Linked DNA regions of Drosophila melanogaster. The protein of the gene in region 2 interacts with the protein of the main gene of each other region in a pairwise test. Each region holds a gene or a part of one and is shown on either strand. Other genes may lie near its edges.

The links. Proteins that work in one complex are often made in the same cells at the same time.
Region 1: the proteins of CG33144 (region 2) and bocks interact in a two-hybrid assay, tested with the Drosophila melanogaster proteins (one large-scale study listed by BioGRID).
Region 3: the proteins of CG33144 (region 2) and side-III interact in a two-hybrid assay, tested with the Drosophila melanogaster proteins (one large-scale study listed by BioGRID).

Annotation. Positions count from the first base shown.
Region 1 is NT_033777.3:9,588,911-9,592,526, reverse strand, and holds bocks (bocksbeutel), read left to right. Parts: upstream 1-1,524; 5' UTR 1,525-1,597; coding exon 1,598-2,797; 3' UTR 2,798-3,059; downstream 3,060-3,616. Other genes in the region: P58IPK, read right to left, coding at 3,245-3,616. UniProt on the Drosophila melanogaster protein: Inner nuclear membrane protein. May have a role in maintaining the structural integrity of the nuclear lamina. During pupal development, plays essential and redundant functions with the other LEM domain proteins; MAN1 and Ote.
Region 2 is NT_033778.4:10,795,663-10,800,523, forward strand, and holds the start of CG33144 (uncharacterized protein), read right to left. Parts: upstream 3,048-4,861; 5' UTR 2,678-3,047; intron 1-2,677.
Region 3 is NT_033777.3:5,956,499-5,961,107, forward strand, and holds the start of side-III (sidestep III), read right to left. Parts: upstream 3,058-4,609; 5' UTR 2,327-3,057; intron 1-2,326. Other genes in the region: CG11373 (uncharacterized protein), read right to left, coding at 3,984-4,007, 4,292-4,447.

The sequences.
Region 1 (3,616 bases), on a different chromosome or scaffold from region 2:
AACAATAAATAACATTTGGAGCTACTTGAAATCAGCAAATTCACATGTACAAGCCACTCCAAAAATAGCACCAAATATGTATGTGCCTAAATCACTGATATTAACATTTAGTTTGAAACCCCATTTCTTCCTTGCAACCCCCGATGCTTCTTTTTAGATGAATTCTTAATTATGAGTAAATATATCTTCATGAATACAATTGTTCAAATGCTCTTTGTGAGTACATTCCTTGGAATTCGTTATAAGTGCAACGTAAACAATATTTAAAGAATACCCGGTGGTCGGTCCTATTGGGCATTCTAAGCTGCAGAAGTGTAAAAAGGGTTGGTTTTATTGCTCACCTGGTGTTAATTGTTGCGGCAACAGGTAGTTCTTCTGGTGGAGTAGACTGGTGAACTGGACTGCCGATAAGAAGGAGGCCACGCGCAGAGTTTGAGTTTGGGCAATAGCAATATCGAAATGTAATAAACCAAATACCAGAAAGGCAATTACTCGTTCACTTTCGATTCGATCGGCCGATAAGGAATTTTACAGGGAAAACACGATGTCAACACGTTTAAACAAAGAACAAACGCACTTATTTTCTGTTTGCGCTTAACAAAAAAACAAAAACCCAAATACGAGGATATTTTTTTTTTCGTTTAGTATTTATATCTACTTTGATTCGTTGTTGTTTTTCACGTTTTATGTGTTTGTTTTTGTCCCGCTTGCTCTTTTTTGGGGCGCCTTTCTCGCTCTTGTCCGCTTTAACCGGTTTTTTGGTTTATGTTTATGCTGCTGCTTCTACTGCTGCTGTTGTTGCTGTTTTTGTTTCCCTTGCTCTTGCTTGGCTAAATGGAAAATATGCTGCAATTGCAGCCAGCAAATTGTCGAATGTTTCCAGCCACTTGCTTTGCTACTCGAAATCGATGCCAAAAACTTTAATAACACCCGCGATTGAGGTAAACAAAAGTGTAATAAGCGAAGTGAGGCACACACGCAGGCGCAGAAAAGCAAAAAGGTGAAGAAATATTGGCCGCCAAACAGGTGCAAATGATTCACGATTGTTTTTCCACAATCCACTGTTTATGTTACGATGCTATATCTCCTCAGTTTTCCGCACTGCGACTTGGGGATTTTCTTTGGCTTGGCGAGCGCTTTCCGCGCGGCGATTCGTTTAATTCGAGCGTCTTGTTTGCGATTGAACACCTGTTGCGCGTTCGATTTTCATAAAACTAACTGTGTGACCGTCGGGCGTTAGTTGAAATAAACCATAGCAAGCGTATCCAACCAGGTCTGGCAGCACTGCTGTAAATGTTTAGTTGTAGGCATTTTATAACACTGCACATGAGGCGATTGCACATAAAATATCGAGTTAAGTTTTTCTTCAAGTAGTTTGTTCTTCTGTCTGATGTTAAAAAATTGTTTTTACTTTCGTGCACAGCTCATCCAGCATATGAAATCTAGCTATAGTTTGTCAAACAACATTACTTTAGCAGCAATCGATAGGCGTGCACTTAGATTGAACATTCTATCGCTGCCGTTCCATCACTAATAGACAACATTGTGACGACATTGCTATTTTTGTGTGTTTTGAGTTTCACCACGGCGGAAAATAATGTCGGACCTTTCTTACCTGGACACGTTGGGCAACAAGGAGCTGCTGGCCAAGTGCCTGGAGCACGGCCTGCCCGGTGTTCCCGTGACGGACAGCACCCGCAGCGTCATAATTCGCCGACTAAAGGCCAAAATCACCGGGGTTCCGCTGAACAAAAGCAAATCTGCAAGTAAGAAAGCGATTCCGAGGCGTGAGACCGTACACGGCAGCCAGGTAACGACGCCCACATCGGAGCCAGTGCGTCGTACGCCCGGCAAGAGTGCAGGACGCACTAGCAGCAACAACAACAAGATCAGCGAACAAAGTCGTCGCACAATCGCCTATGGACTAGACAACACCTCGATCTCGGGAAGATCTGTGCAGACTACTACCACGGTGTCGGATATGAGCTCCCAGTCGGAGGACGACGACTCCTACATGGTGGACTCTCCGGTGCCTAATTACTCCAAGGACCAGCAGCCTAGACGTTATGTTTCTCTAGCCAAATCCGGAGTTTTGACCACATCTTACACACGCGAAGTTGACCAGCCGCTGTACGAACAGGAGGATATACCACGCAGCTACACCTACGAAAGACCCCATGTGCCAGCCGCCACTCTTCACGCACTTCCCACATACGAGCCACGCATCGAACCTTCGACATACAGACCCACAGATTTGGGTTTTTCGCGTCCCCTGCTGACTCAAACCAACTTAAACTCAACCAGCTACGAGGAGTCATCTACGTACAATCCAAAACTTTCACCCATTTCGCCAAGAAACACTTTCAGCGGATCCGCTAGGCCTTTTGGTGGCCCAGCACCAGCTCCAGCACCCATTCGCCAGCGACAGAGTGTTCCAGTTAGTGGATCCAATCTGGCCCGTGGTCGCCTGCTCCAGCCGACCACCGCAGTAAACACTCTATATCCACAACTAAATGAATTCTACGATCAGCCGAATGACGCAGGCGAACCCATGGAGACGGAGAGCGAGTCCGAAGTCGAGGAAGTACCCATCAATAGCCATTTCCAAAAGAATCGCTTCTCGCCGCTGGCTAGAAAACCTCTGGTAAGACACCACGATCAGGTTTCGCCTATGGCGCAGTTCCGTGCACTGGCGGTGTCATTGGATCAAAAATATAATCTCAAATTCTACTTAATATTGGTAGTGTCAGTGATGCTGGCCACCATGGTGTACGTGGTATTGACACCCAACGCCTGAGAAGCGTTCATATCGCGGAATACATTTGGTTTTGGTTACTCCACGCATTTCAACCACAGACTACAGCGAAGGAATATTTATGACGACTTTGCACCTTAAGACTACTACTTCAATTCCAAACATGTTCAAAACTAACAAATATTCAACTCAATTTGCCAAGTCTTTAATTGCTTGTTCTCGCATATTGTTTCTTTTTATACATAATTAGAAAAATGTACTACATTATAATTATTGTATTGTATTAAATAAACTAATTAAATGTAAGTGCTCAGTGTGTTTTGTTGCGATTTGTGTTTGTTTGTGGTACTCTCTGACAACGGACCATGGGTTTATTTATGCTTTATGCTACTATTTACACGCCATTTAAATGAACAAAACAGTGTAAAATCGTTAAAGGATATCGGGGATCGCGGCTAGGACATCACAAAGCAAATGGCTGCTGGCTGACTAATTGAAGTGGAACTTGAACTGGAACGGCGACCCGTGTTGGAAGTGTCCAAACGGATGTTCGCCATGGAAGCCGCCACGCTGATTGCTCTCAGGATCTAATGGATCCTCGCCGTTGTCGAATTGACGACGCTTCTCGGGATCCGTGAGAACCTCCTTGGCTGCGGCAATGTCAATAAACTTTTTCTCGGCCACCTTCTTTTCCTCGTCGCGGAAGTTGTCCGGATGCCACTTTTGCGCCGCCTTCCTGTAGGCCTTCACAATCTCCTGTTTGCTGGCGCTACGCTTAACGCCTAATATCTTATAGTAATCCCTGCGCTCTGACTGCTTCTGCAGCTTCTTTGCCCTCTGGATGCCTTCTTTAGCGCGGGT
Region 2 (4,861 bases):
CAGAACTCTTTTATGGCCGCTCCGCCCTCTGTTTGTGTCCCTGGAGAAAAGGGCTCGATTAGGGGACGATGTGAGGGGGCGTGTACTATCAGCTGTTTCCCATTATGACTACAGCGGAAATACACAAGCAAGTGGAAAACAGTCGAGGAAAAGCGGAAGCAAAAAAAAGGCCGCCACTGGCAATGCAAACACAGTAACACACTAAGGCACAAGCAAAACTCGCTTACACACGCAAGGCGATAAAAATAAAGCGAAGCCCACGGAACGAGAGGCAAAAATTGGAACTAAATGCGTATACGTAATGTGATAGAACCCACCTAAAAAAAAGGGAACTACGGAGTGATAATAAAACAATGGCACCGTTGACGACACTTCTCAACAAACATTAAGTAAGGGGAAAGAAACTTTAAATAGCTTTTTTTTTCGAAAAATATCCTTTAAACTCAAGTTCAGATAGATGTAAAATAGCCCTATTTTCTATATGAAGAAATGACCACCTATACTGTATCTAAATATTTTGTAGTTACTATTTTTCTTCGTTTTTGTAGTTCACTCGATAAGGTTAAGCAAAAAATGCCAGCAAAAAAGCAGAATCGAAAGGAAAAACAACTTTTCGTGGAAATACCGTGGTGAAAATCGAAAACCGAGAAAAGCGAAAAACAAAAAAAAATGTTATAACCACACAAAACTCACACATCCAGACACATAAAGCTACTTAAGCCCGGACACATCGCACACATTCAAGCGAGGGGAACCCCCCCCCCCCCCTGACAGCTGCCATGGCAAACGTGCGAAAGGGACGAAAGAGGCGATAGGAGCGACAGGGACGGGCAGAAACAAACAGTGGGACACGGAGCTTGTCACTTTATTTGGCTCGATTTCAATGCACTGCCAACTTGGGCATATTAGTATGCAAAACTGATAATCAATAGGCGACGACTCAATGCCCAACGCTCAGTGGAGATTATGGCGCAATTTGCATACGGGCATGTGCCATTTGAAGATGTCACCACCCGTATCCCTTATACCGGGAAATCCTCTGAATTCGTCCTCTCAACTCCGACCAGCGAAGGACTCGCTGTCGTTTAATTGAGCCAGACCATCGCCAGCGTACAATTTGGTGTTCTATGTGTGGAGCGCGAATTTTTTTCGCCCTTAATTGAAATACGGGATAATGACTCCAAAAAGCTTTCAGTCTAACTTGCCCTGCAACGATGGATTGCATAGATCAAACATTTGAAAGTGCAAGAAACTGGCTGGAAAACTGTACAGCAAATCGCAATTTGGTGGCCAATGTCATTTGTCAAACTATAAAATTGGGTTTTCTTAACTAATAAGCTTAAACAACTTGTAAAATAAGTTGTCACACTGATCGATTCTTTAGCTCAAAGAAAAAATAAATTTCTTTTGAATAAATATGTATTTTATAATATTAATGCCAATTAAAAAAGTACTCGCATTCAAGGTAGGTTTTCTCCAAAACATTTATTAATCTACACGAGCATTTTTATACCTATTGCTTTCCTAATATTGAAATGAAATGCTGGCAGGAAATACCATAAATATGAAATGCTATACCTTTTCATCGGTTCCTTACGACCTCTTCGCTGAAATTTTTCAATAACTCTCTGGGGATTTTATGGTCGCAATTTGCAATTTATCATCAATTTGATGTGCAAAGGGCCGAACATAAAAGTGGCTCAAATGGTAAATGTAACAAAGGGCAATAACGACGTATGTATATGGCTGCAGCAGGCGACTGACTAACCCCCAACTAGATCCATAAGCGTAAAGCTTGATTTTCTATTGATTTCTGGTCAGAAGCTCACTGCTATCACCTGAAATTCTGAGTGAAATGCACCTGCTGCTCCTACACGAAGAGAAACGTCACACTCTTTGATAGGTTAATGCCAGTACCGAATTAAGTTGCCCATACATTAAAACCTAAAATCTCTTTTTTATTGCAGTACAACAGAAATTTTGAACATTACAATTCATAGTGGTTTATTTTATGCGAATTTATTGTTGTTGCCCATTTAAAAGATTATGAAAATATTTTATTTTATATATTTATCATGTAATGTATTCATGTACTACAATTTTCTCCAAGTATTCCTGAGTTAACTCTTCAGCAGAATAGCAAAAACTATAGCATACTTATGGGCCGCTTTGAGAGTTGCCATAAGACGCTTAATAACTGTGAGTAGTGCCCAGCAGGGGCGTGTATGAGGAGGGCACATGGCAAGGACATGGGCGTCGAATTGAGGGTACTCCGTCCGATGTACGTGCCAATGGCCGTAGTCGCAGTAATAAACACACGCACAGCCCAGTTAACACAGAAATATGCCCCAAGTGTCAGGGCGGGCAAAACATGCGATGATGAGTGGGGAAAGTAGAGAGGAAATGCGGGGGGGGGGAGCCCAAGGAAATGGGAAATGGATTTTCAGTGGCCTTTGTAATTGTTGTTTTTTGTATTATTCTTGTTTTTCTTTTGTTTTTTTTATAATTACTGCGATAGAGCTGGTTTTTGTGTGTAAGTGTGTTGCTGTGGTAAGCACACATAACGGTAATTTAATTAACATACATAAACACTCACACCGGCACACATAAGGAGAATGTGGCACACAAAGAAAGGTGAAAGGTTGGCGGAGGGGGTTTTACTTCTTTGGGCACTTACGAATCGGTTTCACAAACTTTTCGACCCTTTGTAATCGATTTCGAAATGGGGGTCTAACACGGTTTTAATTAAGATATTTATACTTTCGAAAAGCACTTGACAATTTTTGATTATTTTCAATATACTATTTTAATTCTTGATTTGATCAACAAGCGCACACTAATTTCGGCTATACTTTTTATATATTTATAATTTTGTAAATTTTTTTTTATGATTTAACTATATATCTTTGGAGGTGTGTGTTTACAGGTTCCTTTTTGATTTTATTGTGTTGGCATTTTGCTGCTTTGCCGCCGGATGTTGCACGTTGCGCCAGCACTTCCGCTTTGCGACCGAACCAACCGTCGAGAAACGCGTTCCGCAAGCGAATAAACAAACGGACTTCCACCGCACACATTTGTCGCACTTCCATGGCCAGTGTTGCCGTGCTGCACGTCCTGCGCACTGCGCACGACGCGAGAAGAGAGAGTTTCCCTCTCCCGCTGCTCTCTTCGAAATGCAACCTGCTGACGGAACATCTGTGTTTTTGTTATTATGCTTTTGTCAGGGCAACAGCAACAACTGTAGCATTCAATTGCAATTGTGGCAACCGAACATCCATGTATTTCAATTACACTCACTCGTATGTCGGGGTCACCGAAAATAACTGCCGACTAATTGATGGCGCACAAACGATTTAGGAGCACATTTTGATTGATTATTGCGAACTTTACATATGCATAAGTATGAACGTATACGTCCAGTAATTAATCTGAGTTGTCATAGGAACAAGATATAGATATCAAATATTTAACGAATTGCTATTGTCTAAGATGGTCGTATTCATCAGAAATATATCTGAAATATACATATATCAATATGTGTAATAATATAGACAGGTAATTTCTTCTAGCCAACTATATTGGTATTGAAGTTTAGAAGTGGGTTATTGCAATGATTTTTATTTTTAATATTGGCTTTATGCCTGTGAAAATAATCAAAAATTGGTAATAATGTCAATTTAAAGGAACCCGGTTTTTTCGAAGCACAAATATGTGGCTTGGACAGCTCAAGTACAGCGCCTTTTTTGCAGGACGATTTCCACACAATTGCAGGATTTTGTGCCTCGTCGACGACGCTGCTTAATGTCAAGGTTTTTTGGCTGCTGTTGCAAGTGCAGCAGCAGCAGGAAAAACAGGAAAACCAGAAACGGCCGAATGAGAACGGCACGTGGCCAGCCCCCGCAACGAAAAGGGGCCAGAAAGGGGGTCGATTATGCCATTACCAGGGCAAAGCTGCACCTTCCGCCCCCGGAACCCCCAACCCCCTGCCAGTGCGCCGCGCATGAATGCCGCGACAGACCCGATTCGAAAGCCAATGTCAAGTGCACGCGGCACAAGGATATGGAGGCAGGAGTATATTACAGGCCGCCATCTGCCCCACTGTCAGTTCCCCTTCCTCAGTGCCCACAGCAGCTACAGTGGAGCTTCTATAAATTGACATTGGGCTTTCATCAATATTGAACTCTTCGATATGGACTGGCTTATGAAGACTCGTTTATAATAACACATAAATCCTATTTTCATATACGGCTTAAGTTTGACATACACAGGCTCGACTGTACCTCATCATCGAGCATTAGGACGGTCGTTGTTGTGACCTCCAAATTGGTTGGCACACTCACCTAAATGGGAGTTTATCTATATTTTATGTGCACGACTTATACCTCAGGCCCATTTCACTTGATCACCAATTAGTGACTATATGCTCAATATTTGCCAATATCAAACATCAGGTGCTTCGTCAATTAACTTGTTAATTAGATAGGAAATAGATTCTGTGGTTATAATTGTTTTTGTACCGTATTATAATTGTTACTACTTATTGTAGACGAATTTACATTAATCGATATCCATCCAAATTAGTCTGCGAATTCATTAGTTCAACAAACTACTCAAGGATGATGAACTTTTACTAAAACTAATTCCGTTCATCGGCTTTAAATAAAATAAATCAACTGTTTCATAATAGTAATTAATAAGTCATATTAGTCATATAAATAATAAGGGTCCACACACAAAATTGAATACAAGATAAAACGCTCTTCTCATTTGATATTTATTCAAATTATTATTTAATGTAAGTTTTGAACTTATTTATGTTAAATAACCTAGTGAGAATGAAATACAATGTTTTGTTTGTTTC
Region 3 (4,609 bases), on a different chromosome or scaffold from region 2:
TTATAAGCTGAACTTTTTTTCTGGCTTCTTTGAAAGCTGGTTCATCAAATTCCATAAACCCAACCGAATGGAATAAGTTACTTTAAATTTGTAGGTAGAGCTATACCAGACACATTTTCCTACATTTTCTCTATGTAAGCCGGAATTTTACGAGCATTCCAATAATTGGTGCCCGGATATGCAACGCCTTTCGGCGTCCTACTCGCATCGCTTTTGCTTCTAGTCCTTAAAGCTTTCACTTGGGAATCCTAAATCAGCCTTACGATCATAAAACGTCCATACTTCATTCCGATTCTGAGCCCGATTCTCTTCCGTTGCCTTGGAAGCTCACTAGGTCAACACAAATCAGCATAAGCCACACAACTCCACATCGGACAATAACATTTTTATGTGTTAAGCTTTATGACAAAAGGCCAACACGAATGCGAAGGCAGGAGCAAGTGCACAGGGAAAGCCTCAGTACGTGAAAGTTGCTGCAAGTCGGCATAGAAAGTTTACCGATTTGTTTTGGCCGTAATAAATTCGGACAGCTGTAAGCAAGCAACAAATGGGGAATAAGCAAAACAAACGGTCTCGGCCACTGCAATAGTTCAAAGGAAAAGTCAAGGACCCAGGGGCTCGCTGTTGCTTAGGCACTTGGTCCTTTTTTCTGCGTTCCCGAGCAGCGAAGAATCAATCTTTTTCCACAGCTGCTCCACATGTTCCTCGTTTTGCGAGTGCCACTGTCAGAAATGTTGAGCTTGTGTAAACGACCAAGCAGCCAAGTGGGCGTCGAGATGTTCGTTCGGCTTTCTGCCAGCCATTCGCAGTTAACCCGTTATTTACTCAGGATCTGGGAAAACCTATCGCCATCATTTAAGCAAATATTATTCCATTATAACGGAAATTTGAAAATTAATAGACCATCTAGAACTGTTTAAGGCTTAGAACACCCATTTGCATTGTGCTTTCATAAATTAGTAGCAACATTTGCATTCACTATGTAATAAATATAAAATTTGGTACATTTTTCCAAAACAAATAAAGGTTGCAAATAATGCTTACAGAAAAAGTAAGGAAAATGCCCCCGAATGTGGAAGCGAGTTTCTAAATGGGTTAATTCCATTCCACATCCACTAAAAAAAAACGTATTGTGCGTGTTTCTCTGGCTGCACTTGTTTTGTTTTTCTTGGCTTGTTTTTATTTCGTTAATTTTGTTGTTGAGGCATCTGTTGCCCGGCTTCTGTTTTTCCTGTATCTGTATTTGTATTTGTTGATGTGCTTGTGTTTGTGTTGGTTTGTTTGCCCTAGCCCCTGCCAAGTAAAATAATTTTAAATGTAATTCTCGGATGCGCCTACCACTCGGATATGCATCCCATTGGATGTCCTGGCCCACTTGAGAGTGGAGTGTTACTTTTGGCAAATGTCAGAGTGCCTCTACACACACTCCAGATCCACGCTACCCGTCGAGTTTATTTTTCAGCTCATGAACCCCTAAAGTCCTGGCACGGAAATCCCCCTGCTTCTCGAAACCCTCAACCCCCTAACTATGAGTGCACATCTCCTGTTGGCAGGGACATGCATAAATATTATAAAACGTGCTGCTGCCGCAGATAGGTAAGTGCAGATGCCGGCTGTCTGGCCAAAATGCTTAGCCCGGCCCTTGCAAATAAGCCCACTTGCCGATTGTCTGTCCTTGGGCCTATCTGAGCCCGGTTTTTGGCGTACTCTTTGGCTTGTTGTAAGCAGCTTTCATGGCCGGGCTAACTGGCTTAAACCACTTTGTGCAGGAGGCGGCCATAAATTTCGGTCAAATGCTGGTACAAATCTGCACAATGCTTTATCATTTTTATTTTGATTTGGCACTGAGAAGTTTTCCTTTGTTCGAGCGAATTTTATTCAAAAAGGAATACGGGAAATGCCTTTAACGAATGTATATAATTTTTAACTTTGTCTTCAATTTCCCATTGTATAATGGGCTTCGGAAATATTTGTATTCATTTGTTTTGCTAATAACCCTATTCGCTTGGGAATTTTAATTGAAAAATGTCCATAATAACACATTAAAAATGTATTGGTGTTCTGCTGACGAAACAAATACATCGATTCCTTGACCAGTGGGTGGCTGAGCTCAAGGCAATTAATTGCCAGTTAAATGCTATTAAGTGCAGCACGCAGAAGGATTCCATGAATATATTACGCCCGCGACAGCCGATTTAATCGAGAACAAGACGATAAACATTAACGAAACCCGTTTCGAATTGCGAATTAAAGTCGCTTTTCGCTTAAACCGGGATTTGTCATATGCAGAGTCAAATACTTAATTAACTTGCAGTTCCATACGCACTTTTCGAGGACGCGGCAGGGTGCAGAATGTTGGTGGCAGGTGCAGGTGGCAGGTTGCAGGTTGCAGGTGAAGCAATCCGTGCGGCAATCGCGATAAGTGCACCAACAAATGGTTGGCAAATCTGGAGCACTCGCAAAGTCCACAAACAATGTGCAAAAGGTCGCGCGAGTTGGGGACTTACAAGTTTAATAAAGTCATATACACGCACTCCCGATGGCCAAGATGCCAATACACATAATTGTAAGGATGTGTGTATATGTATGAATTGTAGGGGCCACGGCTCAGTCTGACTTTTCCGGCAGAATGACCGACGAACGAAATGTGACCGAAATACACCATCAATTTTTAATATCTATTTAACATTTCAATCAGCGGAATCGCAGCGCTCGCCGCTCGATTCGTATGCAAATTTTAATTAATATTTAATTTTTCATTCATTGTATTTCTGTGTTTTGCCTGCAATTTTAATGACGCATCGCGGAGCGCTAATAAAATTAAATGGCCCAAACAACACAGGACCGATCCACTCACACAGATATTCCGGCACTCACACACTCTCACACAGGCACACTCGACCGAATGAGTTGTGCTTTAGCTTCCTTTTTCGTTTGGCTTGCTTGCTTGTTTTGTGGGTTCCACGCGCCGCGTTTTGCTCCTCCAGCGGATTGGATTTTCGCGTATCGTTGAGCAGAAGACCGTAGCGCCACGTTCCGACACGAATACGAAACTGAGCCACGGCATTGGCAAAAACGCTGCCGAGCACCAAAATATCCTTTGGCTCGGTCGATTCCATCTCGGGGACTTTTGCGCTCGTCGCGCGAAGAGGTCCCTCGGAGGACCAACCTCGTTTTCACTCAATTACCGAATGAAAGTAAAAATGGCACGAGCTCGGCGAAGAGAGTGTATCGGCAGCTTGAGTTTGTTTTGGTTTAAATTGCATTTAAGGAACTGCCAAGGTAGGCCTATCCCAAGCAATTTTACATTCTCGTCCTGCAGGATGATTTTAAATAGAGAACTGTCCATAAGTTGAGTTACAGTTTTATTTACGAATGAAATATCTCCATTATGTTTATCAAATGTTTGTATTATTGACGTTTTTTTATCTTTGCTGGTACCAATGTGACCAAGAACTATCCTTCTTCAAGCTATGAACCCACTAATCATTTTAAAACCATCCTATTTATCTAAAGTTATTCAGCAACTTTTTGTACGTCTTAAGTATCCATAAAAAGGACAGCGGACAAGTTTCTTGACGTTTTTAATAAGCCCCTTATAGTAAAAATAATACCAGTTAACACTCTTATTGACTTAAATATTTTTTTAAGACTCAAAGCCAGCTTCAGGCAAACTGAGATGAAAAGTACCCCTTAAAGAGAAAATTTCCCAACAAGCTCAAACACTACTCTCTTCTCTGCGAGGACAAGCGCCTGCGCTTATTCCAACTTCCAGTCAGCTTATCAAGAAATTATAAGAGTAATTTCCCTTTTGGGATTTATTCGCTTTATTCAGCGCTTTAGACGTCAAAGAATCCGTACATTTTATAAAAAAAGAATATCAGGATTTAAAACGTGGATCCAATTTGGGGACCTGAAATCATAAAATCATAAGTCAACAGTTATTCAAATTTTAATAACTTACCGAATATTTTTAGATATTATTACATCTTCATAATCTTCCAAATCTGTAAAATTTTCAACAGTTAATATATTCAACTTTCTTGTTATCGAAATAGCTGAGTTAAAAACAGCTGTACATTTCTCATTATTGAAAAAGCAATTATTCATAAAGATATTGTTATTGTTATTCAGTTGCCACCATTTTTATAACGTATAATGAAAAGAGGGGATTCAATTACTCATGCATAGGTGTTTGTAATTCAATTAGTCGAATCGAATCCAAACATTAGGATGTAGTGATTAATTCATCGATTATATTCTCATTTGCAAAAAATCTAAAAAATCTTACCCTATCGTGTGCATTTGGCAATGGTGGTCGAACCACTCCAGTTCCTGTGGGTTTGCTCCTGCTGGTGGTGGGATTGGATGAGGATGTGGAGGGCCTGGTCCCCTTTATGCTGGTCAGGGGCCTCGGAGCCGACTTTGCTGATGGTTTTTCGGGCATTTTAGCGGCGCGTTACGAAAATTGTCTGAGACTATTGACAGTAAAATTTACACATGTTTCAATCACTTGTGTGCTACACCGATTGAATTTAATGTGGCCGCCCACTAGATGCCTAGGATATCGAATCAAATTCATATAAAGTCTTTCAGAATGCAAACGAAT